Macaca mulatta: one gene and its partners. The protein of the gene in region 2 interacts with the protein of the main gene of each other region in a biochemical or structural test. Links are inferred from orthologs where the notes say so. Each region holds a gene or a part of one and is shown on either strand. Other genes may lie near its edges.

Region 1 (4,619 bases), on a different chromosome or scaffold from region 2:
CTACCTAGGTTAAGAAATAGATCATAGCAGCACCCCAACACGCTGAAAGGCCTCCATCAGGTAACTACTATTCTGACTTTTGCTTTCTTTATGGGTTTGCCATTACTTTTAAAAATGGCAAAAACCTCAATGATTTGCATCAACCTAAATACATCCCTCCTTAAACTACGTTGTTTTGTTTTGTCCGCTTTTGGAATTTATATGAATGGAATCATATGTCATTGTCTTGCTTCCTTCATTAGGCCTTGTTTTGAGACTCATTATGCCATTGTGGTTAGTTGCAGTTTATTCTTGTTCATTGTTTATGAAAACACTGCAATATACAATTTTGTCTTTTCTACTGCTGATAGACATTTATGTCGCTTCCAGTTTTTTGCCAACACTATTTTGTATTCTTATACACATCTCTTGGTGTACATAAGTAGGAGTTTCTCGCTGGGAGCGGTGGCTAAGGCCTGTAATCTCAGCACTTTGGGAGGCAGAGGTGGGCGGATCACTTGAGGTCAGGAGTTCAAGACCAGCCTGGCCAACATGGTGAAACCCCATCTTTACTAAAAATACAAACAATTGGGCATGGTGGTGTGCACCTGTAATCCCAGTTACTTGGAAGGGTGAGACAAGAGAATAGCTTGAACCTGGGAGGCGGAGGTTGCAGTGAGGCGAGATCGTGCCATTGCACTCCAGCCTGGGAGACAGAGCAACACTTCGCCTCAAAATAAATAAATAAATAAATAGGAGTTTTTCTTAGGTAGAGAAACTACTCCTAGCAATAGTCATAGAATGCACAAATCTTCAATGTTAGCAAATAGTGCCATACTTTGTTTTTTTTAAATTTCAGAGATTGTGTCCATTTACACGTCTACGGGTACTGTATAAATGTGTGTACCTCCACATCTTCGCAAACACTGTCACATCCTTTTTTTGTTGTTGTTCTCGAATTTGAGTGTTATTGTTTCTCATTGTGACTTTATTTTTCATTTTTTCTGATTATGAACGAGGTTGACACCTTTCATACATTTGTTGGTCATCTGGATTTCCGTTTTGGTGACGTGCCTGTTTTAAGTATCTCTTCTATAATTTATTTTAAAGTGTCCTTTCAGACAGCCTCAATGACTTTCATCAACTCCTTGCAGGGCAGTCAGCCGGGAGATAGAGTAATCAAGGTAGGTTGAAGTCAACCTCAAAACATTCGCCGCCTCAGCTGTAGCAGAGAACCATTGGGTTTCCCCAGGTGACAAGTACTTCTACCTTAGCCGCGTGAGAGAGAAAGAAGACCAGGCTGAGTAGCCTGGCTGCCTACCTCCTCGCGGGTGGCCGAGAGCAGGGGACAGCACCCAGGCGACTTCCTCAGGGATCCTAGATAAACAGTCGCGTCCCCAAACGCAGCATCCGGCTTAACCGCCAATTTCAAACTTCCAAGACCTGCCCAGCCGACTTTGCCCTTCCCTTTATCCCATTGGTCGCGAGTCAAAGGAAGATGCAATTTGATTGGCTCTCCTTTTCACTTTCTCCATCACTTTAAAGACGTGGGCGGGGCCTGGCTGAGAAGCCCATGTCTATCATAGGAACGGGCACGCTGATTGGTCCAGACACGGCTGAGACCCGCCCGCGCCGTTCCTCTGGTTCAAACGCGGCGGCGGGAGGCGCGGGGCGGAGCAGATCGCAGACCAGCCGGGTCCGCAGAGCGTGAGTCTGAGCCCCTAGACCCAATTCTACCGCACCCTGCTCCGCAAGGCCAGGGGAAGGCCGCCTCCACCCACACCAGTCCCGGCTTTCCCTCCCGCCGCGGGGAGGGCGGTGCTTCCACCCCTAGGGCTGCGGGAGGCCTGGAGGGTCTTCCCAGGCTGGCTGTGCGCGCGCGCACCCTCCTCAGGAGCCGAGGGGCCTGCCGGGTGGTGCCGGGGCGGGAGGCTTGCTCCTCCCCTAAACCAGGAGGAGCCCTTCGTCTCTTCAGCTCTGCCTCCTGTCAGCACTAACTGCTTTATTCTGCCCAGTGTAGTCAGCCAGTTCCTTATTATCTGCGTGATAGCAATTTTCTTAACCTCTCTGTTTCAGTGTCTTCATACCTCGTGCCCATCCCACCACCTCCTGATGCCCCCGCCTCTTTCGCTCTGCTCCATTCCCTCTGGCCTCCCTGTTATTGTTGGAGAGGCCAGATCCTGCCTCAGTGCTTTTGGCTTGGCTGTTTCCTTTGCCACGGATATCTTTCTTTCCCCAGATATCAACATGGCTTGCTGGTCACCCGCTTCAGGTCTTCAAGTCTTGGGTCAAATGGTGTCTTCTGTGAAGTCTGACTTGACCACACTAAAGATTGCACCGTCTCACCCCCATTGCCCTTATCTTACTTGGTTTTGTTTTTACCTCATAGCACTTAACACCTTCCAACAAACTATATATAGTTTGCTTATTTCAGTCATTCATTTAATAACTACTTATTCACACCTATTTATGTGCCAGGCTATGTGTGCCCCCACTGCGTGGGGGCAAAAATCTCTGCCCTTGTGGAGCTTCCATTCTAAGGGGGGAGATAATAGACACATTGATAAGTAAGAGAGTATGTCAGATAAGTGTATCACCTCCTGTTACGGTGAGTTAAAATCTGGTGTTTAATCTCCATGATTAGACTGAGCTTCCTAAAACTGGAGTGGTAGCTAATTTTCATCTCCTTGTCCCTGATACCTTGAGGGAGATCAGGATCTCTCAAGCCCTTCCTGCTCAAAACATAGGACATACTTGACTTTTCTGATATCCTTTCAGCACCAGTGGGGAGATGTTGAAGTTCAAATATGGAGCGCGGAATCCTTTGGATGCTGGTGCTGCTGAACCCATTGCCAGCCGGGCCTCCAGGCTGAATCTATTCTTCCAGGTAACAGGCTACCCTGCCAACTTTGCTCACCTGTGTGTTTCCTTGGAATCTCCTTGTCACTCACCTTTGCTTTTATTTTATTTATTTATTTAGAGTCTCACTCTGTCGCTCAGGCTGGAGTACAGTGGGGCAATCTCAGCTCACTGCAACCTCTGCCTCCTGGGTTCAAGCGATTCTCCTGCCTCCGCCTCCAGAGTAGCTGGGACTATAGGCGCCTGCCACCACACCCGACTAAGTTTTGTATTTTTTTTTTTTTTTAGTAGAGACGGGTTTCACCATGTTGGCCAGGCTGGAGTCAAACTCCTGACCTCAAGTGATCCTCCTGCCTTGGCCTCCCAAAGTGCTGGGATTACAGGCATGAAATGCGCCAGGCTTGCTTTCATTATAGGACCAAGGATAATATTTTAGGAGAAATTCTGTTTTGTTTTGCTTGAAACAAGGTCTTCTGTCGACTCTAGGCCTGTGCCACCATGCCCAACTAATTTTTAAATTTTTTGTAGGGATGGGGTCTCACTATGTTGCCCAGGCTGATATTGAACACCTGACTTCAAGTGAGGCCTGCCTTGGCCTCCCAAAGCACTGGGGTTATAGGTGTGAGCCACTGCACTGGCCTTCTATTTGGAGTTTTATATGCACTGATTATTTTGGAAAAAGGACACTGCAGAAGTAGATAGCTGAACTTGCCTTAGGAGGGAGATCCTTTCATATTTCTCACACTTTACACTTCTGTACTAAAGTTCATTAATTGATTGATTGACAGGGTCTTGCTCTGTGGCTCAGGCTGGAGTGCGTTGGCACAATCACGGCTCACTGTAGCCTTGACCTCCCGGGCTCAAGCGATCCTCCCACTTCAGCTTTCCAAGTAGCTGGGACCACAGGTGTGTGCCACCACACCTGGCTAATTTTTGTATTTTTTGTAGAGGTGAGGTTTCACCATGTTGCCCAGGCAGGTCTCGAATTCCTAGGCTCAAGTGATCCACCTGTCGCAGCCTCTGAAAGTGTTGGGCTTACAGGCGTAAGTCACTGCACCAGGGTGAGTTTGCCCTTTTATTGGAGAAAGAAAAATAAATGAACAAAGATGCTTTTTAAAACTACAATTTCTGTGGGTATCATCCTATTCATTTTCATTGCAGGGATGTTTATTTTTTAAGATTTAAAAAAAAGTTTTGATGAATATCACACCTGTTTAACCCTCATTCCTCTCAAGATAACACATTTCCATCACCCCAGATGTGTTAAAACTTAATGTCATAAGATTACTTCCAAATAGATTTTTAATTCTTTTGTTTCTGATGTATATAGAACACTGGTGAAGTAGAAATCCTTGTTTGATTTATGTATTCATAAGTCAGGGGGACAATAGAGACTGTGAAGATTTAGAATTGAATCCCAGTCCCAGCACTAGTTAGCTGTGTTACTCTGGGTGAGTCAGTTACCTTTTCTGAGTCCATTTGCTGTTCTTTAAAATAGGTTGTAGCCTGTAATCCCAGTATTTTGAGAGGCTGAGGTGGGTGGATTACTTGAGGTCACGAGTTCGAGACCAGCCTGGCCAACATAGTGAAACCCCATCTCTACTAAAAATATAGAAAATTAGCTGGGCGTGGTGGTGGCATGCACCTGTAATCCCAGCTACTTGAAAGGCTGAAGCAGGAGAATCGTTTGGACCCGGGAGGCGGAGGTTGCAGTGAGCTGAGATCGTGCCACTGCACTCCAGCCTGGGCAGCAGAGTGGGTGAGACTCCATCTCAAAATAA
Region 2 (2,733 bases):
GCACATAGCCAAGTTTAACAGCTTTTAAAAGTCTTTTTTTTTTTGGCCGGGCGCAGTGGCTCACTTTGGGAGGCTGAGGCGGGCGGATCACAAGGTCAGGAGGTCGAGACCATCCTGGCGAACACGGTGAAACCCCGTTTCTACTAAAAATACAAAAAATTAGCTGGGTGTGGTGGCGGGCGCCTGTAGTCCCAGCTACTCAGGAGGCTGAGGCAGGAGAATGGCGTGAACCCGGGAGGCAGAGGTTGCAGTGAGCCGAGATTGCGCCACTGTACTCCAGCCTGGGCGACAGAGCCAGACTTTGTCTCAAAAAAAAAAAAAAAGTCTTTTTTTAAGACTGGGCACAGTGGCTCATGCCTGTAATTCCAGCTCTTTGGGAGGCCGGGGTGGGCAGATCACGTGGTCAGGAGTTCGAGACCAGTCTGGCCAAACTGGTGAAACCCCCATCTCTACTAAAAAATTAGCTGGGTGTGGTGGTGGGCACCTGTAGTCCCAGCCACTCAGGAGGCTGAGGCAGGAGAATCGCTTGAACCCAGGAGATGGAGGTTGCAGTGAGCTGAGATCATACCATTGCAGCCCAGCCTGGGCGACTGACAAGAGTAAAACTGTTGCAAAACAAGAAAAAAAAAGTCTTTAAGCTGAATTTGAATACTCTTTACTTACTATATGTATGCCACACTATTAGCTAAAAGGACTGTTTTTTCTTTTTGCTAGGAGCCGGTGAAACCTGAAGAAGGCAGAGATATGGCAAACAGGATTGGTGCTTTTGGGTACATGGAGTGTTCAGCAAAGACCAAAGATGGAGTGAGAGAGGTTTTTGAAATGGCTACGAGAGCTGCTCTGCAAGCTAGACGTGGGAAGAAAAAATCTGGGTGCCTTGTCTTGTGAAACCTTGCTGCAAGCACAGCCCTTATGCGGTTAATTTTGAAGTGCTGTTTATTAATCTTAGTGTATGATTACTGGCCTTTTTCATTTATCTATAATTTACCTAAGATTACAAATCAGAAGTCATCTTGCTACCAGTATTTAGAAGCCAACTATGATTATTAATGATGTCCAACCCGTCTGGCCCACCAGGGTCCTTTTGACACTGCTCTAACAGCCCTCCTCTGCACTCCCACCTGACACACCAGGCGCTAATTCAAGGAATTTCTTAACTTCTTGCTTCTTTCTAGAAAGAGAAACAGTTGGTAACTTTTGTGAATTAGGCTGTAACTACTTTATAACTAACATGTCCTGCCTATTATCTGTCAGCTGCAAGGTACTCTGGTGAGTCACCACTTCAGGGCTTTACTCATTAACAGATTTTGTTGGCATAGCTCTGGGGTGGGCAGTTTTTTGAAAATGGGCTCAACCAGAAAAGCCCAAGTTCATGCAGCTGTGGCAGAGTTACAGTTCTGTGGTTTCATGTTAGTTACCTTATAGTTACTGTGTAATTAGTGCCACTTAATGTATGTTACCAAAAATAAATATATCTACCCCAGACTAGATGTAGTATTTTTTGTATAATTGGATTTCCTAATACTGATATTTGTCATCCCCAAAGAAAGTGTATTGGTTTTTTAAAAAAGAAAGTGTATTTGGAAATAAAGTCAGATGGAAAATTCATTTTTTAAATTCCCGTTTTGTCACTTTTTCTGATAAAAGATGGCCATATTACCCCTTTTCGGCCCCATGTATCTCAGTACCCCTATCTGGAGCTGGGCTAAGTAAATAGGAATTGGTTTCACGCCTGAGGCAATTAGACACTTTGGAAGGTGGCATAACCTGTCTCACCTGGACTTCAGCATCTGGCTCTAATTCACAGTGCTCTTCTCCTCACTGTATCCAGGTTCCCTCCCAGAGGAGCCACCAGTTCTCATAGGTGGCACTCAGTCTCTCTTCTCTCCAGCTGACTAAACTTTTTTTCTGTACCAGTTAATTTTTCCAACTACTAATAGAATAAAGGCAGTTTTCTAAACTTCGTGTATCCTGTTGTTTGTGTTGCTCTCTCCAGGGCTGGGGGCAGGAGGATGCAAGGACTTCCTGGCCTAGCTCACCCTGGAGAGGTTTGTTCAGGGTGCAAAAGACTAGGTTGTGCCCCACCTCCCACCTACCCAGCAGCTAATCTGGTCCCTCCCAACAACATGGAAATGATTACCCTGTACCGCATTCTAGTTCAGATTTGGGGGGAGGGTGAATGCAGCCTACTGAGGAGGCCAGAGAGGGAGGACTCAGGCCGCGTTTCCTTGGCCCTGACGAGCTCTTGGGCTCCACTTCAGGAAGCTGGGGCAGAGCTTCCAGGACTCTGCCCTGTTAGAAAACCCGCGCAAGGGCGGTGCCGCTTTGGAGACAGGGAGGAGGGAGACCGGAAGCCCATATCCCTCTGGCTGTCCCCTGCACTGCCGGTAACATGGCACAGGAGAGGAGGGCTGTTTGCGCACCGGCAGCTGCTGCCGCCGCCCACCAGCCTTCTATGCCGAACCCCACATCCTAATTGAGGAGCCTTTGAGAAAGAAAACGGAGCCCTCGAGGGCCCCAGCCCTCGGAAGGGTGACCTGGACCGCTGCCGCCTGGTTGCCTGGGCCAGACAAGACATGCCCGCGGCTCCTCCCGGCTTGGGCGGAGCCCGCGTCCAGTTCGGGCGCACCCTTCAGCCTTTTCCCGGCTGAAGGAGGGGCCGAGCCCTCCGGATAGGGCGGGGGCCGGATGAGGCGGGACCCTCGGGTCCAAAAAACTGCCTGCGCCACGTGA
Region 3 (3,646 bases), on a different chromosome or scaffold from region 2:
ATACCGACAATAGTTTGTTATCCGGGGTTCACCATCAGAGGCAGGGAGTGGGAAAGGAAATAAGAAACCACTTAAGGAAAGCCTACCCATTCAAACAAATTAGATTGTGCATTCTAAAAGGGTGCAGCTTCTGGACATAAAATGTAAGCAACACTGACATTAGACTGTTGATCTGACAAGTCTATAATGACTTAAGTGATGCCATGATAAAACCAAAATAGTGGGGAAAATATTTGGCAAATTATTCTAAGAATATGCCAATTTGGATAAAGTGGTCATTTGGAGAACTGGTTTTTAGGAAAGTGGCCTACTTACTCCACTGAGGCTGCTTGGGGAATTAGTCCCAGCCCCTCACAGGCGTGGTGCTCATTCCACCCATGAAGGCTGACACAAGGGGAGGTTGCCAGGAGCTCACCCATGAAGCTACCAGAAGGCAGAAAACCCACTCTATGGCTATCCCATGAAGCTAGAGGAAGGGCAAGCTGGCGGGGGGACAGCCTCTCCTGAAAAGCAGCATGGACAGACTCTGTCCTGCCGAAGTCCTCACACAGCCCACACAGGTGATTTGAGGTACACCCCAAGTGCCTGGCAGCTAAACACATTGCCATTAGTGCCACATCATTTAGCTTAAGGCTCTACTAAGTCAGTAATTACTTTAGTGGCATTATGGATAAGTACAGATGAACTGGCAGTCGCTTCAGGAAAGAGACACATGTGGTGAGTCCTGATGCGCGGGGAGGGAAGGAAGGTGGGGTGTTGGGCCCTGCAGTGGGGTGGGTAGGGGGCTGCAGAACTTGGGGCACTAGTAGGGTACAGCATATAGGGCCAGGAGGAAAAAGGAGAAATCAAAGTTGGGGAGTGGTAGGGAAGGAAAAGGGTCTGTAGTGAATAGAATGTAACTCTTCCCTATTGGTGATTTCCCTTTGAACAAACGTTGGCCAAATTATTTTCTGACCCAGTACCCTCCTATATCAAAGCAGTGATGGGATAGTGGGAAATAAGCAGCCTTCCTATTGTTAAAAAAAAAAAAAGAAAACAGAAAGAAAAAAAAAGCCTGGAAATGCCTCTAAGGCAGGGGTTTAATGGAGAGCCCTGGAAATGAAGTCTCTCTGTGGGCACCTGTCCCCTCAAGGCCACACCTGTCCTTGGCAGGGGTCTGGAGAGGTGGTCAGGGAGGGTGCTTGGAGAGAGGAGCCCTGAGCTTGTGCCTTATGTGTGAGTTAACGTGGCTTGAGTGTCCCTGGTGTCCCCAAGCCTGGCAAACTGCTGGGTTCAATGGACAACTTTCCCTTTATAGTCCCTCAGCCCTGCCTGTCAGCCTGGCTGGGGACCTGGTGGCTGAAGCCCTGGGACCAGGGCGATCCTAGAGTCCTTGGGCAGAGCAAGGGGGAATAGTGGCTAGAGGCCAGGCCAGGACATTGTTATTTATCCACAGGCCTTCTGACAGTGGCCCGCCCGCTGAGCGCTCCCCCTGCCGCGGCCGGGTCTGCATCTCCGGTAAGAAGCACAGCTACCCCAGCTGCTGGCACCCCTTGCCCAAGCACACGGCCTTTTGCCCCATCTCAACATCTGTTCCTACCCCCCTGCCCCTTAGACCTCCGGATTCCACTCATGTGGAAGGACACAGAATATTTCAAGAACAAAGGTGGTGAGTTCCACACACCCTGGGACAGATTCAGGGGAATGACCCTGACGTAGGAGGCTCTTGTGGGACGTGTTTTTTGAGTTTTGCCCTCTTTGTTCCTAGACTTGCACCGCTGGGCTGTGTTCCTGCTACTGCAGCTGGGGGAACACATCCAGGACACAGAGATGATCCTGGTGGACAGGACCCTTACAGACATCTCCTTTCAGAGCAATGTGCTCTTGTGAGTACCTCAAACTGTGGCTCCCTTCCTCCACTCTGCTCCAGTTCTAGATGAGCAAGTTCCAGGGGAGGAAGCTGTGGGTGGGGGGCACCTGGCCTTCCCTGTGGAGCTGTCCTGCACTTGCCCCACCCACATCCCCCACCCTCTGCCTCCCTGGACTTTCCTGTGATCACCCTCCTTCCTCCCACCAGCGCTGAGGCGGGGCCAGACTTTGAACTTCGGTTAGAGCTGTATGGGGCCTGTGTGGAAGAAGAGGGGGCCCTGACTGGTGCCCCCAAGAGGCTTGCCACCAAACTCAGCAGCTCCCTGGGCCGCTCCTCAGGGAGGCGTGTCCGGGCATCGCTGGACAGTGCTGGGGGTTCAGGGAGCAGTCCCATCTTGCTTCCCACCCCAGCTGTTGGGTAAGGCCTTGCACACTGCCACTACCCTCAGCTGCCTATATTCGGCCCACAGGTGACCTTTGAACTGTGTTGAGTGTGCAGAACCCATTTTGCATTGCTGCCAGGATGTGCAGACAGACATGAATGAGCAGTGGCCACGTAGCTGGGAGGCATTCCAGCCCACGCCCCAGAGCTGGGCTGAAGCCAGTCCAGAATACCAGTAGGAAGGCAGGGAGACTTAGGCCTTGGGGTCTTAACTTTTTAGTAGCAGCAAATACATTTTATTTTTAGAGACGGGGTCTCGAACTCTTGGGCTGAAGTGATCCTCCCGCCTCGGCCTCCCAAAGTGGTAGAATTACAGGCATGAGCCACAGCACTCAGCCTAGCAAATACATTTTATGTGGATAGAGCAGAGCTTCTTGGTTGGAGCAGAGTACCCTGGACCTGTGGTGGTATCTACATGCACCCGGAGACACCTCATGGGACCACTGAGACTCTGAGAAGCAGTTTGAGAACCTTTGGGTAGTCAACAGAATACTGATTTTGGACACAGATATGGGTTCAAATTCAAACTCCCCCACTTTCCAGTTACAAACTATGGGCAAGTTTCTTAACCTCTCTAAGCCTCAAGTTGCCTCATCTAGTTGAAGAATGCCACCAACCTCACAGGGCTGTCATAGGAATACAGTGGGATAAAACATATAAAGCATAGGTCCTGACACTTAGCTGGAGCTCAGTAAATGTTCATTCCTAACCCTCTGGGGAGACAAGCGAGTTTTCTGTGGGGCAGCCTGAACAATGGGGCAGATGTGCTCAGCCCTTAGAGTTCCTGCTGGCCAACACGCCCCTCCCTCGGCTGATGCTCTCTCCTATCTCCCTTAGTGGTCCTCGTTACCACCTCTTGGCTCACACCACACTCACCCTGGCAGCAGTGCAAGATGGATTCCGCACACATGACCTCACCCTTGCCAGTCATGGTAAGCATGTATGTGCATGGGGGACACACACATGTGATGGTGAGAAGAGGGGCTGTGGGACGGTCCCCTTCTCATTCCCCTACCTCACCCTGCACTTCCTCCTCCCCCAGAGGAGAACCCTGCCTGGCTACCCCTTTATGGTAGTGTGTGTTGCCGTCTGGCAGCTCAGCCTCTCTGCATGACTCAGCCTACTGCAAGTGGTACCCTCAGGGTGCAGGTGAGGTGAGAGGGCCCTGAGGAGTGGAAGGGAGCAGGGAGAAGGCAGAGGAGAGCTGGATAACCAGGAATAGAAGAGCTAATGAAAAATCAAGATTTGGGTGGAAGAAATGGGATATGACCAGATGAGGGGAGGAATGGACAGCAGGGTGGACAAAAGGGGGGCTGAGAAGAGAGATACTGGGGGGTGTGACTTCCCCAGAAAATG
Region 4 (3,929 bases), on a different chromosome or scaffold from region 2:
TACTGTGTGACTGTATGATTTATAAGTGAATTGCTTTTATTTATCTACCTACCCAAGAAGACCTCTCCATCTCACACATCACAGAACTTACTCATCTGTCAAATTTGTTACCATTTCCAAATCTGGAGAAATGGTTCTCCACTTCAAGAGAGAAGTTACTTAACAACACATCCTTTGGAGGACCATATTTCTGTTTGCTGGGCTAAGGGGACAGAAAAACTGTACAACTGTAAAAATTTTTCTTTGTAATTTTTAATCTCAAAACTGTAGCTGGCAAGGCATTAGTACCGTGTGCTGTAAACACGACTGAACCCTGGAGAGTGGGATCCAGGGACTGAGTAGGACACACGAGGTCTTGAAAAGGAGATACTGCTAAGACTTAGGAAATTCTCATTTGTTCTTTCTTTTTTTATTATTTTAAATTTATATTAGATAGAGTTTCGCTCTGTCGCCCAGGCTGGAGTGCAGTGGTGTGATCTCAGCTTACTGCAACCTCCACCTCCCAGGTTCAAGTGGTTCTCCTGCCTCAGCCTTCAAAGCAGCTAGGATTACAGGTGCCTGCCAACACACTTGGCTAATTTTTGTATTTTTAGTAGAGACAAGGTTTCACCATGTTAGCTAGGCTGGTCTCAAACTCTTGACCTCAGCTGATCCACCCACTCTGGCCTCCCAAAATGCTGGGATTACAGGCATGAGCCACCACACCCAGCCTGTTCTTTCATTTTTTAAAGTAGAAATGTAATACATACTTTTTATGCATGTAACAAAAAAACAAACATTAACTATGGAGACAGTAAAATATGAAAGTCCATTCTTTTACCCTCTTTCTCCTCCCTATTTCCAGTCCCATCACCTCCACTCCCTCATCCTAGGCAAAAACTTTATTTGACTGCAGCCTCCTGAACATCTTCAGTATAATTATAAAAAAAAAAAAAAAAAACCAGCCAGGCACGGTGGCTTACGCTGTAATCCCAACACTTTGGGAGGCCAAGGCAAGCAGATCATGAGGTCAGGAGTTTGAGAACAGCATGGTCAATATGGTGAAACCCCATCTCTGCCAATAATACAAAAATTCGCCGGGTGTGGTGGTGCGCACCTGTACTCCCAGCTACTCGGGAGGCTGAGGCAGGAGAATCACTTGAACCTGGGAGGCAGAGGTTGCAGTGAGCCAAGATTGTGCCACTGCACTCCAGCCTGGGCAACAGAGTGAGACTCTGTCTCAAAGAAAAACAAAAGAAAACAAAAAACAAAACAAAACAAAAAAACATAGACTTTGTTCCTACATAATTCTTGTAAGATTTAGTTTTAAAATATGACAGCTTATGTAGTCTTTCTTTTAAATATCCACATAATATTCTGTTGAATGTATAATATAATCATTCTTCTCTAAAAAGATTTTAGTAGTGTAATTTTTACAAGTAGTATTTAATTGACCATCCTTTCCTGTACTTCTTCAATTACATGTGTGTTTCTGCAGAAGAGTCCTAAACACAGAGCTGCTAAAGGGCATGTACTGCTGGTATCAAACCGCTTTCCAGAAAAGCTATGCCAGTGTTCACTCCAATCAAGTGGACCTCATTTTTAAACTAGGAACAATGTTAGTAAGATTTGAGAACATGATCTATACAAAAAAAGTATAGCATGCAAGTTTCTGTGTACATACAGTAAAGTTCAAGTTCAAACTTCCAAAGCTGATTACCACAGTTTTGTTTGGTAGACTTTTTATTTCTCATAAGCCAAATTAGCCCAATACATAAAAATTCCTCAAATTTACTTTATGAAATCTGAAAAACATTTATTTACATTTATCCCTAAACTCACAATGTGCTTGTTTATAAACAGGCTAAATGTTAGTAATATACAGCACAAAAGCCCTTCTGAATTGCCACCTGTGATAGCTACACCACACATGGCCCCATTGCCCACATCTCCTGGTATTCACACCTTTGTACAGCTCCTCTTCCATGATGAAACTGGGCTGGCTGTCTCAGTTTAACCAGAACTAGACAGAAGTCATGTTGGCCAGGACCAGGCTTAGGCCTTAAAAAGATCTACAGCTTCTGCTTTTGAGCTTTGGAAAGCTGGCCACCCCATAAGAAGTCTATCAATACAGTGGGTAACATGATTAACCTTCATTACAATGAAGGGACAAACTTTTCAGGGAGAAAGAGTGGCTATGGGGAGAGGGAGTGGTCATGGAGAGAGGGAATGGCCTTTGATATCACAGAGGGAGAACCAAGGAACTCAGCCAACAATGAGAACTAGGACCCAGCCAGTGACCCCAGTCGACAGCCATGCCAGCTAGCCCTCGGCCATTTGAGTTATCCTAGTTATGAGTGAAGAGGCCATCTTGGTGTTGCAGGCCTAGCTGACATCTTGTGGAACAGCAGTGTGTCATCCATGTTGTTCTTTTGCCCAATTTCCTGACCCTTGGAATTGTGAGAAATAATAAAATGGCTGTTCTTAATAAGCCACTAAATTCTGCTGAAGCGGATTTTGTAACACTAAGTAATACTATCTAAATATTTAAGTTTGTTCATACTAACATCCTAGAACATTTTAAAAAAATTCAGCCTTGAGAACACAGGAGTGTTTACCTGACATATTCTTTTTTATTTTCTTCATTAACAGGGATACTTTTGCCATTTGGTTTAAGTTCATGCTGAATAATTTCACCATATGCATTATGTTCAACACAGAAGGTATGGTCCAAAACACCTGTAATATCATTCTCACTGGAAAGGAAAGAGGAAGAGATAGGTAACTGGGAAACCTAAAATACAGACCCTATAGATGTATTAACTGGTGAGATAAAACTAAGATCATTTTATAATATGACAAATGTGAGGTCAGATTCAGCTTATGAACTCTTAAACTACCACACTACCTAGTTCTTTCTGGACAGAAAAGTCAAAGAGCTTTAACCTGCATAAACACAGGAAACATTTAACTTCCTGAGTGATGAGAAAGAGCCCTGGTCAAAGCTGGGACTTGCTAGAACCACCAATATAGGACAATTTCAGTTATATTTGGCATTCTGAAGAGCGCTACTCGGTACTGTACTCCAAGGGGCCAAGTGCCTGTGTATCCCTAGTTGAGAAAGCCACTGTATACTTTATAAAAAATAAACATTTCCAGTGTATCTTCATAAAAATAACGACCTCTTGCAAAACAGAATCAGTTCTTAGCTTAAATTCAACAATTAGTTCTTATCTAAAAGTATGGTTCCAACAATCGCCACTTCATTAAAAGCAATGGCAGCAAGAATTTGCTATTCTAACACATGCAGGTTTGGAACAGAATTTACATCACATTGAGGAAATAATCATATAAAGTACTTTTAAAAATAGAATATACTAGTTTTTTTTTTTCTTTTTAAAGTAGTAACACTTGCTAAGTTTAAGGAATTTGAAATATATAAAGAAGCTACAGAAAGGGGGAAATCATATGAGATCCTATCACTCAACCACTCAATATTTTCTGTGTAATTTTTTTTAAGTACATCGGTTTTGAAACTTTTTTTTAAAAGCTCAAGAGTTTAACTATAATGAAGAGACAGAAGACTCAATACATACAGTATCCACACTAAACTGTTATGAAGATCTGGATCTACTAACTCCATGTCATCCAAAGTAATCGACTTCCCAAGCAATTGCTTATAAAAAGGCAAAGTGAAACCACCATCAATATAATGTCCATGAAACACAGCCATTCCCATTATTCGTCCAACAAAGTGGAAATAGGATAAATGTTCCTGAAATTGAAAAGAGTGTATATACTCAAGTTAGAAACTACCCAGGAAAATTTTAATAAAAATGAAATATTTCAGCAACATTAATTTTTTTGAGAATAAGCATAAAATTTGTACTCTTCAATATAGTCAGGAGGGAGTATTTCTCTAGGGCATGCTCAGGAGTCTCTAGATCACT
Region 5 (3,929 bases), on a different chromosome or scaffold from region 2:
TTGGGGGCCAAGGCGGGCGGCTCACCTGAGGTCAGGAGTTCGTGACCAGCCTCACCAACATGGAGAAACCCTGTCTCCACTAAAAATACAAAACTAGCCGGCGTGGTGGTGCATGCCTGTAATCCCAGCTACTTGGGAGGCTGAGGCAGGGGAATCACTTGAACCCAGGAGGTGGAGGTTGCAGTGAGCCAAGATAGTGCCATTGCACTCCAGCCTGGGCAACAAGAGCAAAACTCTATCTTAAAACCAAACCAAAACAAAACAAAACCAAAACAACAAAAAACTAACACATTATTATGTATGTTAATCATGCTAGAAGAAGAATAGTATTTCAGGCAGTATGTCATGTAGTATCAAACTCACTCCTATGTTACCTATAGCTTAAGCAGCTTATTCTATCTCTTCTGGACCATGAGCATCCAGAGGCTAACGACAATTTCATGCCAACATTAAGAAGTTGGTTATCTCCTATCAACTCAGTCTAATTTAGCTGAGACTAGACCATAAGAAACACAAATTCGGCTGGGCGCAGTGGCTCATGCCTGTAATGCCAGCACTTTGGAAGGCAGAGGCGGGCAGATCACTTGAGGTCAGGACCAGCCTGACCAATATGATGAAACCCCATCTCTACTAAAAATACAAAAATTAGCTGGTCATGGTGGCATGTGCCTGTAACCCTAGTTACTTGGGAGGCTGAGATAGGAGAATTGCTTGCAGGAGGATGACTTGAACCTGGGAGGCAGAGGCTGCAGTAAGCCAAGATCATGCCATTGCACTCCAGCCTGAGCAACAAGAGTGAAACTCCGTCTCAAAAAACAAAAACAAAAAACAAACAAAAAACAATAAATTCACAGTGGCAATTTTAAATGGAAATACACGCCTTATTCACTATGATGCTTTCACTGCTAATTCATTCGGTGAAAAGGAATTATGCAAGGTTTAAAATGGCTTGCCTGTCCTGGTGTATCCAAAACTCTTAATTCAGAAGATTCATCTATTTCTCCAAGGGAAGAAGCTCGTGGTGGGGCTGGAGGAGGTTCAGGCTCAAGATCAAAGTCCAATTTGGTTACTGTAGAATCACTTATAGAAGATAAAGTAACTCACCAAAACAGTAATAGAAAGTCTGTATTTTAAACCACTTTAAAATTAAAGCAAACAATTTACTTTTTAAGTACACAGAACACTACTTTCAAAATACTACTTGGGGAAAAAAACAAGACTCAGTACACCTGCTATAATCGGTACGTAATTGTCCCAATAACTTTGCATAAGATGCTTAAAATCTCAGACACATACCTAGCTGGAGGTGCTAGTTCAGGGATGCGTACATCAACCACTGGCACTGTAGTAGGCACAGGAGCTTGAGGGCTGAAGGTGCCAGAATGATTTACTGTAGGAATAGCTCTTCTTACTAGCCTTCCCCAAGTGGCAATATTAATATTCATTTGAGGAGCTCTGAGAAATGTTTTGCCTGTATATATTGAAAATAACAAAAATAGAACAAGTAATTTATGTATAACCAAAAGTCATAATTTAAAAATTCTTACTCGTCAGTTTATAATCTATGAAGAACAAACAAAATTTGTCACTTAAAAAAACTAGTTTTTTACTATTTGCTAGTAAAGGCTGGTGCAAAATAGCATAAGTAGTTTTAAAAATAAATAGGTAAGAAATTTTTTTTTCTCTTTAAGTCTAGTAGTAATATGTGATTAAGGTTTTAAAAAGAAATCTTATCTTTTACAGATCTAAACTATAATATTTATGAATAAATCAGTAGGATGTCTGGGTTTGCTTCAAATTTGAGAAAGTAGTGAGAGGATGGCATATGGATAAAATAAAATGAGTTGACTATTGTTGAAATTGGATGATTGTACATTTCACTAGTCTCTTCACTTGTGGATACATTTACAATATTCCTTAATAAGAAATTAGAAATAAATGAATAAACAACAACAAAAAAAACCACAGATGGCTATTACTTTTAAAATGGTAATTAGATGTTTAAGAAAATATCAAAATGCTATGTATTTGATTGTTAGTAATTACCTTGTTGCTTTGAAAAAATTTTCTTTTGTCTTTGAAGTTTTGGTCTTCTTTCAATAACTGGGTTAAAAAAGGTAACCTGCAGTGAAGAAAATTCAAGTTGACATGAAAATAGCATTGGATTTATGGTTCATGAAATCCACTAAACTTATAAAATTTGAAAGCTTAAGAGAATCTTAGTTATAGTTTAGTCCAGCCCCTCATTTTCTAGCTGAGAAAACAGACATAGAAAGAATAATTGGTTTGTCTCAAGGTCACATACCTATTCAGTGGCATAGCTCAGCCAAAACTCAAGTCATCTGTCTCTCAGCCTAACACTCTTTCCACTTCTATATTATGCTGCCTACATACGTAATTTCAATTGTAGTTATGCACATTAATAAAATACATTTATTACCTCTGCAAATAAAGTACCCTGTGGTTCCAAATAGAGACACATGCCATGCCGCTGGTTGTCTAAAAAATCTTCTAACCTCAGAAATTTTACAGCACACAGAGACCGCCAATCACGCCAATAAACTGAAATTTCCAGTTCACGTGACTAGGATAATTAAAAAAAATAATAAAGAAAACAGAAAAGACATCATTGGACACACACTTGAATAAAATATCACAAAAATATGAAATACAAATACAATGAACAAAAATTACAGACACAAAGGTCACACTGTTTTAAAGAGATTTGTAATGTTTCTCAACTGTATATTACTTTATCAAACTTACACATTTTAATTCAAAGGAACAAAACTTACACTGTGACACTTTCCAGCTAAGGTATTCCTAAAGTATACTTAAAGAATACACAACTGGGAACAACCAGTACATATGAATAACCACCAAAACTCCTTCTCTTACAGCTTCAATCTTTTGGATTTCCCTCCTCTGTTTGTCATCACATGCTATGTTACTACCCCAATGCTTGCTTGCTTCAAAGAACTCATTTGAAACCTTTTTATTTCTTTGTCTCATTGCTGAGTCAGAAAAAGTTCTGCAAATAGCATTTATTCTGTACTCACAATGTGCCACATATTGTGCTAATAAGCACTTTAAGAATATTAGGTCATTTAATTTTCAAAATACCACTGGGTAGCAAGACCCATTTTGTGTACGTAGGGCAGAAAGGGGAAATTCAGACCAAGCTTTATACACAAAGATATTCGCTTATTATAACAATAAAACATAATTTAAAAAGCAAATTAGCAAGAATTTGAATGTTCAAAAACCAGGGACAAGTTAATTATACCAAAGCTATATGAGAGAATACACAGTAGACATTGAAAATGCTCATGTGGGGAAATATATTTAAGGTTTTAATAATCAGTGTTTAAATGCACCTGTAGAACATAGTTCCTAAGCTGGGGTCAATCCATATACTGACCACTACCTATATGTTTTAATGTATATATATTTTAATCATAAAGTACTGGACTTTTCTATTATTTTGTTTTTTAGGCTTCTGTACACCATCCACATAAAGAGATAAATGTTTCTCCTTTTAAGGCTCTACAAAGCAGTAAATTACTTACTTTATATAACAAATTTCAATTTATAAACTTATGCATCTTATTATGTAAGGTCTTGGTATATACAGTAAAAAAAATCTATTGACCTTAAATTATAAATCTAGTTGATGCTAATGAACACGAAAAACACCTATAAAAAATGCAACATGAAAAGAAATGAATCAAAACACAATGGGCCAGAGGGTTTTATAGCCAAACAGGAAAACAATTAGAAAAGTACATCTATGGCAGTGAGAATGTGATCTCAGGGACTCCCACCTCATTTCTTCTCTCTGACTCATAATTAATATGGGAGAGAATTGTCATGAAAGAAGTATGAGGAGAATATAATTATTTTAAGACTAGCAAATGGCATACAGAAGG
Region 6 (4,592 bases), on a different chromosome or scaffold from region 2:
CAAACATGGAAATAAACTCTGAAACCTGTAACAAAAGTATTCAACTTCTGAAAGATTGTTACTCAACATTCCAGAAGTGAGAGTTCAAACTTCCCTTAACCAAAAAGATGAGGCCAAAACCTATTCCGCTGTCAACAAACTTTCTAGTTCAAACCTTTCGAGGTAAACTAAGGTTCCACGTACTGGCATTGCATGTGTACACCATCACCGCTAAACCGCAATTGTATTGTAAGGATGATCACACTCACAGATCCTCTCAAACCATTCATAACATCTACTGAAAGGGAAAGGGAAAGGGAAAGGGAAAGGGAAAAGGTGTTTCAGAAAGAACACTCATCACCTGGTCCTTCCCTATCAAATGTCATCCAAAAATTCCTTAAAGCATTCTTGCATCGATAATCTAAATTCCTGAATCCAAAAATAATTTGGGAGGAGGACAACCCAAGTCCTCCCTTTCAAGGCCCAGGCTTGGCAACTAGGATTAATTAATATATATATACCGGACATAAACATTTCAATTAAAACCTATTCCTTCTAAAACACTCATCATATTTCTAACAAAACACAAAATCAGTTGCTTTCGCTTTTAACAAGATAACTGAAACCAATATGATGTCAATTACAGACTGAGTTGTAAATCAGAACCAAGTTAAAAGCTTTCCAAGTATTACAATCTCAAAAATGTTACTTTTATGTTACCGCATAAATAAAAATGTATCTACATTGTATCTACAAAGTGAGAAGTGTTTCCTATCAGCCCTGGTGTGAAGAAATCTATTTCCCCAGAAGCAAAGATCCCAGAGGAAACTACCTCTTACATTACAAAACCAGGGTCTGGGTCTGGGTCCAAATCATTATCTCATTATCTTTATACAAAAAAACAAAACCTTCTCTTCAGACAAAAGTTGGGCCATGCAACAACTATGGGCTCTCAAAGTAAATTTTAGTTTTAAAAAAATTACCCATTGTTTGCATGGATTTTACCGATGACTTTATGGCTGCGCATCTGCCATATAGTGTTCAAAACGCTCATTCTCTCTTTGAAAGGACCTGCCCAGACCAGGACTTTGGAGTTCTCACCCGACTGAGCCACTGAACAGAAAAATCCAGGGGAAAATCCCTGACGGGGATTAGAATGAACTTTTTAGTTTCTTTCCAGAGCTGGAAATATTCGAGTTTGGAAAGTCCCGGAGCAGAGCCACATTTGCAACACGGCCGTCCTGCTTTAGGGATGAATTGAAACTGGGAAGACAGTAGTACCAGGGAGAGTGAGAAAGGGAAGATGAGGATGCAGCCTGGTCCAGAACCTCTGGAGCCCACTAGGGAGACAGACTGGCATCACATCCACGCCACCAAGTCGCAGGCCCACGGCAGAGAGTTGCGCTCACCCTTGAAGGTGGCACTACAGAGCCACCCAGGAAACACGGGCTTTTCACTGAAGACGAAATGAATCAAGGAGCCTGCGTGTGGGCAGCTTCCAAAGCCTCCAGTGAGTGTGGGAGTAGGGATCAGCGTCTCACGGGCGCTCAGGGTTGCTGAGTGTGAGGGTGATGGTGAAACAAAATGCAGAAAAGGTAAAAATTGAAGAAGCCGAGTCAAAAGTAGCTAGCGGTCTGGCCTAAGAGACAGGAAGTGGCCCAGACTGAGACTGACGAGGGCTGGACCAGGGGGAAGTGAGGAGAGCAGGACTGGGAGCAGCTACAAGATAGGATTGAGGAATTTCAGGCTGAAGGAAAGAAAGGGTGGAGGCCCCGCCAGACAGCAGCGAGGGGGCGGGGCTAGGCAGGAATGAGGGCGGGGCTTGAAAGTGAGGGGCGGGGCTAGTGGAAGAAGGAAATGAGGACGGTGTAGGGGGTGAGGGAGAAACGAAAAAGGATTGAGGGGGTGAGAAGCGGGTGGGTGGGGGCAGGAGGGCAGAAGCAAGGGGCAAGTGGAAGGGGAGATAGCAAAAGAGAGGATGGAAGTGGGGGAGAAGCGGGTGGGAAAGTCCAGGAGGATGAAGGGAGCGAGCAGGTGGGAGGGGAAACAGGAAAGCAAGAGAGAGGATGGGAAAGTGGTGAGAAGTGAGGGATGGGACCAGGGGAACAGAGGCGAGGCCAGGAAGGAAAAGCGAGGGGGCAGGTGGGCGGAGAGGTTGGGAAGCAAGGAGAAGCATGGAGGGCGTAAAAACGGCGGAGGAGAGAAATAAACGAGAGAAGCAAGGGGACGGGGCCAGGAATGAAGAAGCGAGGGGGTGGGACCAGGAAGAAGTGAGGGCCGAGGCTAGGAAAGAAGTGAGGAGGCGGGACCAGGAAGAAGTGAAGGCCCAGGCTAGGAAAGAAGTGAGGGGGCGGAACCAGAGAGAAGCAAGGGAGCTGGACCCAGGGAGAAGCGAGGGGGCGGGGCCAGAGAAGTAAGGAGGCGGGAGCAGACAGGAGCGAGGGGGCGGGACCAGGGAGATGTGAGGGGTCAGGTGCCGGGGAGGTAAAGGTGGGGAAAGGAGAGGACCGCCAGGGGGCGGGGCCTGGAGGGAGAAGCGAGGGGTCCGGTGCTAGGGAGAAGAAGGGAAGCGAGAGGCAAGGGGCCGAGCCGGGGAGAGGTGAGGGGACAGGGCCTGGAAGGAGATGCAAGGGGCGTGGCCAGGAATGGAAATGAGAGGGGCGGACCCAGGACGGAGACGCGAAGGGGCAGGTGCGGGGGAACGGGAGACCGTGGGGGCGCGAGCGGCCAGGGGGCGGGGCCGGGCAACGGCGAGGGGGCGGGGCCGGGAGGGAGAAGCAAGGGGCGCACGCCGAAGGGGGTGACGAGGTCCTGGGACAACGGCCGGCGTGGGGGAGGGCCGCTTCCAAGGGCGCCCGGCGGGGAATTCCACGGAGGGCGAGGGGGCGCAGGGGCGCAGGGGCGCGGGTGGGCCTCCCGCCGGCCGTACCTGTCAGACGGATCTTGATGCTGGAGCCGTTCCTGCGTGTCCCGGGGTTCGACATCTCCCGCCAACGATCGGGCAGCCGCGGATCCAGCGCCGCCGCCCCCCGGCCCGGCCCGGCCCGGCCCCGCCGCCGCCGCCTCAAGGTTACGGCTCCGGGCTGGGCGCCGGGGTCCGAGCCGGGACACAAACTCCGCGGCCCAGGCGTCCGGGCGGCAGGCGGATGGTCGAGCCGGGAGATCGGCGCTCGCTGCGGCGCTCTGACTCTCGCTCCTCCCAGCCGAGCCCAGTCCCGAGCCGCAGCCGCCGCCGCCTCCACCACCTCAGAGCCGGACGCCAGCCGCCCTCGCCGCTTCCGCCGCCGCCGCCGCCGCCGCCTCCCCGAGCCGCGCGCGCGCCCGCCGCCGTGCCGGCCCGGCCCTGCGCGCCCCCGTGCCTGCGTGCGTGCGCGCCCCCGCGGCGTGCTCCGGGGCGGGGCGGGGCGCGCCGCTACGTCGCCCACCCGCCTCGGGCGCGCGAGGCCCGGATCGCGCGGGATGGGGTCTTCCCGCTTCCTCGAGCCAGCGGGTGGGAGAGTCTGGCCCCAAGCCCGGGAAGGGAGAGCAGAGCTGGCCCCGGGGCCCAGTGCGCCGTCGCCCTCTGTTTTGGCCCCTGTCTCTGCGAGGCTCTGAGTGGCTCCTGAGTGACTGAAGAGGTGTTTGCATGAAACCGTGGGCTGTGTCCATACCAAGCACCTTGCACACAGGCGTGCAATACCAGTTTTTTTAGTTGAGAGCTTTCGATCGTGCAAGTTCAAGGGAGGGACTTCTCAAAGAGACAAAGCGCTTAGGTGTGTTCTGTACAACCGGTGTGCTCCACTGACCCATAACAAAGTTGCCAGAATCGCAGAAGTGCCATATACGGACAAGGAAAATGAGATGAGAGAGGGATAAAGTTGAGAGGCGGATGCTTGTTATTATCCAATCTGCATACAATTTTACCAAACAAGAAAGCAGCATTGTGGTTGGTGTTCCCCAGTCTTCTGCTAAGTTTCCCCTTCTCCCAGGGTTGCAGGTTAGAACCAACAGCTCATGGCTGGGTAAGGTGGCTGTAGCCTGTAATCCCAGCACTTTGGGAGGCCGAGGCGGGCAGATCACTTGAGCCCAGGACTTTGAAGCCAGCCTGGGCAACATAGGGAGACACCATCTCTACAAAAAATACAAAAATTAGCTGGGCACGGTGGTGCACGCCTGTAGTCCCAGGTACTGGGAGGCTGAAGTGGGAGGAACGCTTGAGCCCCAGAGTTCAAGGTTGCAGTGACTATGATCAGGCCACTGCACTGCAGCCTGGGCGACAGAGCTAGACACTGTCTCCAAACACACACACACACACACACACACACACACACACACACAAAGTTCATTATGCGCTTTCTCCAGCAAACAAACGCCTTTCTGTTAGCATGTTATAGAAAGAAAATGATATGTTATTAGAAAGAGAAAGCTAGGTTTATCAAACTTGTTTTTTACCCACTACCTTTTTTTTTTTTTTCTTTTGAGACAGGGTCTCACTCTGTCACCAAGGCTGGAGTGCAGTGGCACGATCTTGGCTCACTGCAACCTCCACCTCTGGGGTTCAAGCGATTCTCATGCCTTAGCCTCCCAGATAGCTGGGATTACAGGCGTTAGCCACCACACCCAGCTAATTTTTG
Region 7 (3,929 bases), on a different chromosome or scaffold from region 2:
TGTCCTCAAGATCCCATGAGGTGTAGGTGTGCTTCACATCAGCCGCCGGAGGCATGTTGACTACATTATGGTCGTTGGGAGAGAAATAGCCAGTCACGTTGGCCCGGGGACGTGGAGGCAAACCAGCATAACTGTACAAGTTCTTTCCTTGCAGCCTAGGATTGTAGAAAGCAAAGTCTCGATTGGGAAGGCGGTGAAGGGGTCTCAACTGGACTGTGCCATAGGCATCCACATCACACAGGGCCCCATCTGGACTGTAATAGGAACTAGAAGAACTGGAATATGGGCTATACCTGTAGTGGACCCGGCCATTCTCAAAGTAAGGCTGCAGCTGAGTGACGTGATAATCGGAGCGGGCCTGGGAGGACTGATATGGCTTATATTGGTACAGGGGTCTTGGGCAGTAGGCTGGCTCATCATCTGGGGGAACTTCTGTCCGTGAAATGGGAACAGAGCGAATCATGGAAGACGGCGGAGCATGGAGAGACTGCACTCTCCGGATGGTAGGGTATGGTGGAATGTCTTCAGGGTAACAGGTATTCCTAACAGAGGAGCTCAAAGACGACACATACTCGATCCGGCTGCATGGCTTGGAATGGTGTCCAGATGCGTTTCTTCCTGGGGCCACATATGTGTTATAACGAAGACCCATGGAGGCTGGTGGCTCTGACCTGGCACCATACACTTGGTGCTGCTCCAATTTACTGTGATGTGGAGGTACACTCTGGGGACGGTACTGGCAGTTTGGAGTCATACTGAAATGCAAACAGTTTTCTGGACCAAAGGGTTCAGTGGTGACATCGGGCCTAGCAAAGGAGGAGTAAACTGTTTTCTGAGAAGCATGCTTAGGTTGTGGGACAGGAAGTGGTAAAGGCAATGCATCATCCACAGAGGCGGATGAAGCAGTGACAAAGGAATGATAATTTGAACTGCTGGTGGCATCTGCACTGCTGGAATGTATGGCAGCAGCCATCTTACTCTCCATCGTCCTGGTGGGGGGCAGTGGTGTAGGAAAGCCACAGGGATGTGCAGGGACAGACTCGGCACGCAGGTGCAGCAGCGGGGCCCGGGCACCATCCCGCACTTTCTCAGGCAGGCCTGGCTGGACAGCTGTAGCCATGGGACACTGAGCAGCAGCTGCACCACTGTCACTGATGAAGGCAGACGCAGGGTCATCCACGGCTCGAGGTTCAGGTGGCCTCTCTGGAACTGGAACTGCTCCTTGAACCTATTGAAAGACCATAATACTATGCATCTATTTTTTGTTCCGTCTATGAATCAAGTACTATTAAATTTGTAACTCACAAATTGAGGCTGGTTGGGTAGCAACTTGAACTTTCCCAAGCCATGTGGTTGCAATGAATCTGTACCCACTGATAGGAAAAGAAGGCTGGTGCTGCTATTTTGTATAAATATAGTATTCTCTCTGGAGAACCATTCAAAGTTTTCTAATTTATGAGAGGTTTTAAATGCGAGGCGAGGTGGCCTATGGCATGATTTTAATATACAAACCAAGAGAGGTTTAGTCAAGTAATACTGTAGAGCTTAAAAATACATACCCGGTCTCTTAGTCTAGCTCAGTCTCAACACCAAGGACATTTTGTTAAATTAAGAGTTAATTCTATCATCTGGAGAGACTTTTGAAATTCACAGTTGTACACACTGAGCAGCTTTAGGCCTTCAAAAATAGGGAAAGGCAATATTCAAATCAGAGGCTACTGCCTCTCCCCTACCTTTGATTCCACCTTAGTCTGGCCAAAGATAATCCTCATACTGAAAACATGCTATCCTTGAGAAGCAGTAAACACAGCATCCTCCACTAAGGTCTAAAATCTGAGGTCCTATTAATAGTTCAAGATGACTAAGAAAAACAACCTGTGGCCCTTCTTAAAATATGAGGAAATTCAGGAAGAAACCTTAGCATTCTGTATACTACATTCTCTCACTGAAGCAGGTGCCTGACTATGGGACAAACTGCTGGTGGATGCTAGGAAAGTAACAAAAATCCCAAGGTACTATAATCTCTTACACTTGCAAAAAGTCTGCAAGGCAGACAGTCCTACGGATGTTTTGAGAATGAAGTATTTTCATTGTGTAACTGTGAATAATTGGCAGAGGGTAGGTAAATGACTTGCCCAAAGTCACAATGAGTCAGCGATGGAGTTGGAATAAAAAAAAAAAAAAAAAAAAAACTCACAACCTTAAAGCCCACTTTGTCTTACTAAGTGTTACTAGGAATAAACTAGTGTTTTACTAGTTTATTGTGTTACTAGGAATAAACTACCAAGACACTTTAGAAGAAAAGGGAGCAGGTACAGTTAAGCTATAGTCATGGAGGAGCTACTCCCTTTTCTCGGGAAAAGCCAGCATCAAGGTAACGGCAGGCTCCAACCTCAAATGGGAATTATTTCATGGAAACCAGCCATAGGGCTTAAAAGCAATTGTTGTGTCTGACTCAAAGGTAACAACACACCCTGCTGAAAAGTGACATACCTTTGGTAATAGTATATTTCATCTCACTGATATCTTCCCCTTCTTACCTTGTGGGAATTATTTAATCCTATATTGGTTGCTGCTTGTACCTGCCCCACAACTGGTGGCTGCTCTGCAGATCTCTGGGAAGGTGGAGGGGGAAGGGGACGATTAGTTCTGTGTGTGCGCTGAAGGGTGGCAGCAGCAAAATCAGCAGTGGTGGGTTGTTCAGCCACATCCCAGCTGACTTCCTTGGTGCTCATTTGGGCTGTTGCTGGAGTAGTTGTCATGTACGTCATGGTGGCTGTGCTGGTATTCTCTTCGGGGGACCCAGAAGGATAGATTTTATCCCTAGGTAAATTAGGAGGTGTGGGTGATTTGTCTGCAAGGGACCCAGAAGGAAGGAAGATTTTATCCCTAGGTAAATTAGGAGGCGTGGGAGATTTGTCTGCAAATTCTAAAGGGTGATGGGGTTTATCCACACTTGCACCAAGATAAGAAGGAGGGTGATCTCCACTGTAGAAACGGGGTGGAGACTGGTCCTGATCCAAGAAGGAGACAGCTGGCATACTGTTCTTCCCAGACTGGTCTTCAGGGAAACTTATAAGATCATCCGACTTCTCTGAGTCTAAGGGAACTGAAGTAATTCTGGCCTTTTCTGGGTCCCCAGATAAATATGTTTGATGTGGCTGATTCCCTGTTAAGTCTACTTGGTGATATTGCTCCCCAGATTCAGTTGTGTTGGAATGGGTAGGATCCCCAACAGCTGTTGTCTCTGGTAGAGGATGGTCACAGTTTCCTGGTGCGTTATTCTGGAGGTGAAACTGCTCTGCTGGTCGATCGGTTTGAAAATAGGCCTTATCTAGAGCAACTGCAGAGTAAGAACTGGGCAGATTATCTTCAGTTGTAGCCACCGCTATATCTCCATAATTTGTATACCCAGCCTGAGAGGTCCCTGGTCTCTTCAATGACTGAGTTGAGGCTTGCTGTGCGGACTCAGCTAATGCTAGCGCCAACATTCGGGCAACATTTTTCGGAGGCGGTGGTGGTGGGATAAGAGAGACTGAACTGACAGGAACGGAATCCTGAGGGGGGTCATGGGTAACTGCTCCTAGTGGGAAATTGGGAAAAAAAATGAGAGTGAAAAGGTAGCTTACGTTATCCTAAATGGAAAGCCAAACACTCCCCATGTGATCACTAAAAAATAGGTGCCTTCCATATTTCAAAATGGCAATCCATGATCTTCTATCCCACATGCAAATGCTGTAGAAAACACATCTGGTGCAGAAGGAAAACTAAAACAAACCGTGTATAAAGACCGCAATCTCTTCTTGAATTGCTACAGAGATGGGGGGAAAAAGCAGATCCCTCACCTGGCTCAGAAAAGATTGCTTAGAAAACAAGCTTCAAGTGCTTGCAGACTGTTATTATGAACAGTTTTTACACTTGATGGTGTA

What was found.
Region 1: the proteins of RHOA (region 2) and CIT form a complex in vitro, tested with the Homo sapiens proteins (2 studies listed by BioGRID, with this or other methods). The link is inferred for Macaca mulatta from reciprocal best matches to the Homo sapiens genes RHOA and CIT.
Region 3: the proteins of RHOA (region 2) and RTKN form a complex in vitro, tested with the Homo sapiens proteins (8 studies listed by BioGRID). The link is inferred for Macaca mulatta from reciprocal best matches to the Homo sapiens genes RHOA and RTKN.
Region 4: of the proteins of RHOA (region 2) and SMURF2, one has a biochemical effect on the other in vitro, tested with the Homo sapiens proteins (3 studies listed by BioGRID, with this or other methods). The link is inferred for Macaca mulatta from reciprocal best matches to the Homo sapiens genes RHOA and SMURF2.
Region 5: the proteins of RHOA (region 2) and PKN2 form a complex in vitro, tested with the Homo sapiens proteins (2 studies listed by BioGRID, with this or other methods). The link is inferred for Macaca mulatta from reciprocal best matches to the Homo sapiens genes RHOA and PKN2.
Region 6: the proteins of RHOA (region 2) and SMURF1 form a complex in vitro, tested with the Homo sapiens proteins (2 studies listed by BioGRID and IntAct, with this or other methods). The link is inferred for Macaca mulatta from reciprocal best matches to the Homo sapiens genes RHOA and SMURF1.
Region 7: of the proteins of RHOA (region 2) and ARHGAP32, one has a biochemical effect on the other in vitro, tested with the Homo sapiens proteins (3 studies listed by BioGRID). The link is inferred for Macaca mulatta from reciprocal best matches to the Homo sapiens genes RHOA and ARHGAP32.

What each region holds. Positions count from the first base shown.
Region 1 is NC_133416.1:127,159,558-127,164,176, reverse strand, and holds the start of CIT (citron Rho-interacting kinase), read left to right. Parts: upstream 1-1,610; 5' UTR 1,611-1,686; intron 1,687-2,757; 5' UTR 2,758-2,770; coding exon 2,771-2,866; intron 2,867-4,619. UniProt on the Homo sapiens protein: Plays a role in cytokinesis. Required for KIF14 localization to the central spindle and midbody. Putative RHO/RAC effector that binds to the GTP-bound forms of RHO and RAC1. It probably binds p21 with a tighter specificity in vivo.
Region 2 is NC_133407.1:112,801,027-112,803,759, reverse strand, and holds the end of RHOA (transforming protein RhoA), read left to right. Parts: intron 1-504; exon of another isoform or gene 505-714; coding exon 715-888; 3' UTR 889-1,960; downstream 1,961-2,733. UniProt on the Homo sapiens protein: Small GTPase which cycles between an active GTP-bound and an inactive GDP-bound state.
Region 3 is NC_133418.1:50,374,706-50,378,351, forward strand, and holds part of RTKN (rhotekin), read left to right. Parts: intron 1-1,435; coding exon 1,436-1,497; intron 1,498-1,594; coding exon 1,595-1,648; intron 1,649-1,747; coding exon 1,748-1,865; intron 1,866-2,056; coding exon 2,057-2,266; intron 2,267-3,127; coding exon 3,128-3,222; intron 3,223-3,332; coding exon 3,333-3,439; intron 3,440-3,646. UniProt on the Homo sapiens protein: Mediates Rho signaling to activate NF-kappa-B and may confer increased resistance to apoptosis to cells in gastric tumorigenesis. May play a novel role in the organization of septin structures.
Region 4 is NC_133421.1:74,453,904-74,457,832, forward strand, and holds part of SMURF2 (E3 ubiquitin-protein ligase SMURF2), read right to left. Parts: intron 3,755-3,929; coding exon 3,576-3,754; intron 2,736-3,575; coding exon 2,598-2,735; intron 1-2,597. UniProt on the Homo sapiens protein: E3 ubiquitin-protein ligase which accepts ubiquitin from an E2 ubiquitin-conjugating enzyme in the form of a thioester and then directly transfers the ubiquitin to targeted substrates.
Region 5 is NC_133406.1:151,798,328-151,802,256, forward strand, and holds part of PKN2 (serine/threonine-protein kinase N2), read right to left. Parts: intron 2,585-3,929; coding exon 2,441-2,584; intron 2,123-2,440; coding exon 2,047-2,122; intron 1,472-2,046; coding exon 1,297-1,471; intron 1,081-1,296; coding exon 954-1,080; intron 1-953. UniProt on the Homo sapiens protein: PKC-related serine/threonine-protein kinase and Rho/Rac effector protein that participates in specific signal transduction responses in the cell.
Region 6 is NC_133408.1:46,363,824-46,368,415, forward strand, and holds the start of SMURF1 (E3 ubiquitin-protein ligase SMURF1), read right to left. Parts: upstream 3,002-4,592; 5' UTR 2,964-3,001; coding exon 2,909-2,963; intron 1-2,908. UniProt on the Homo sapiens protein: E3 ubiquitin-protein ligase that acts as a negative regulator of BMP signaling pathway. Mediates ubiquitination and degradation of SMAD1 and SMAD5, 2 receptor-regulated SMADs specific for the BMP pathway.
Region 7 is NC_133419.1:129,333,088-129,337,016, forward strand, and holds part of ARHGAP32 (rho GTPase-activating protein 32), read right to left. Parts: intron 3,584-3,929; coding exon 2,541-3,583; intron 1,229-2,540; coding exon 1-1,228. UniProt on the Homo sapiens protein: GTPase-activating protein (GAP) promoting GTP hydrolysis on RHOA, CDC42 and RAC1 small GTPases. May be involved in the differentiation of neuronal cells during the formation of neurite extensions.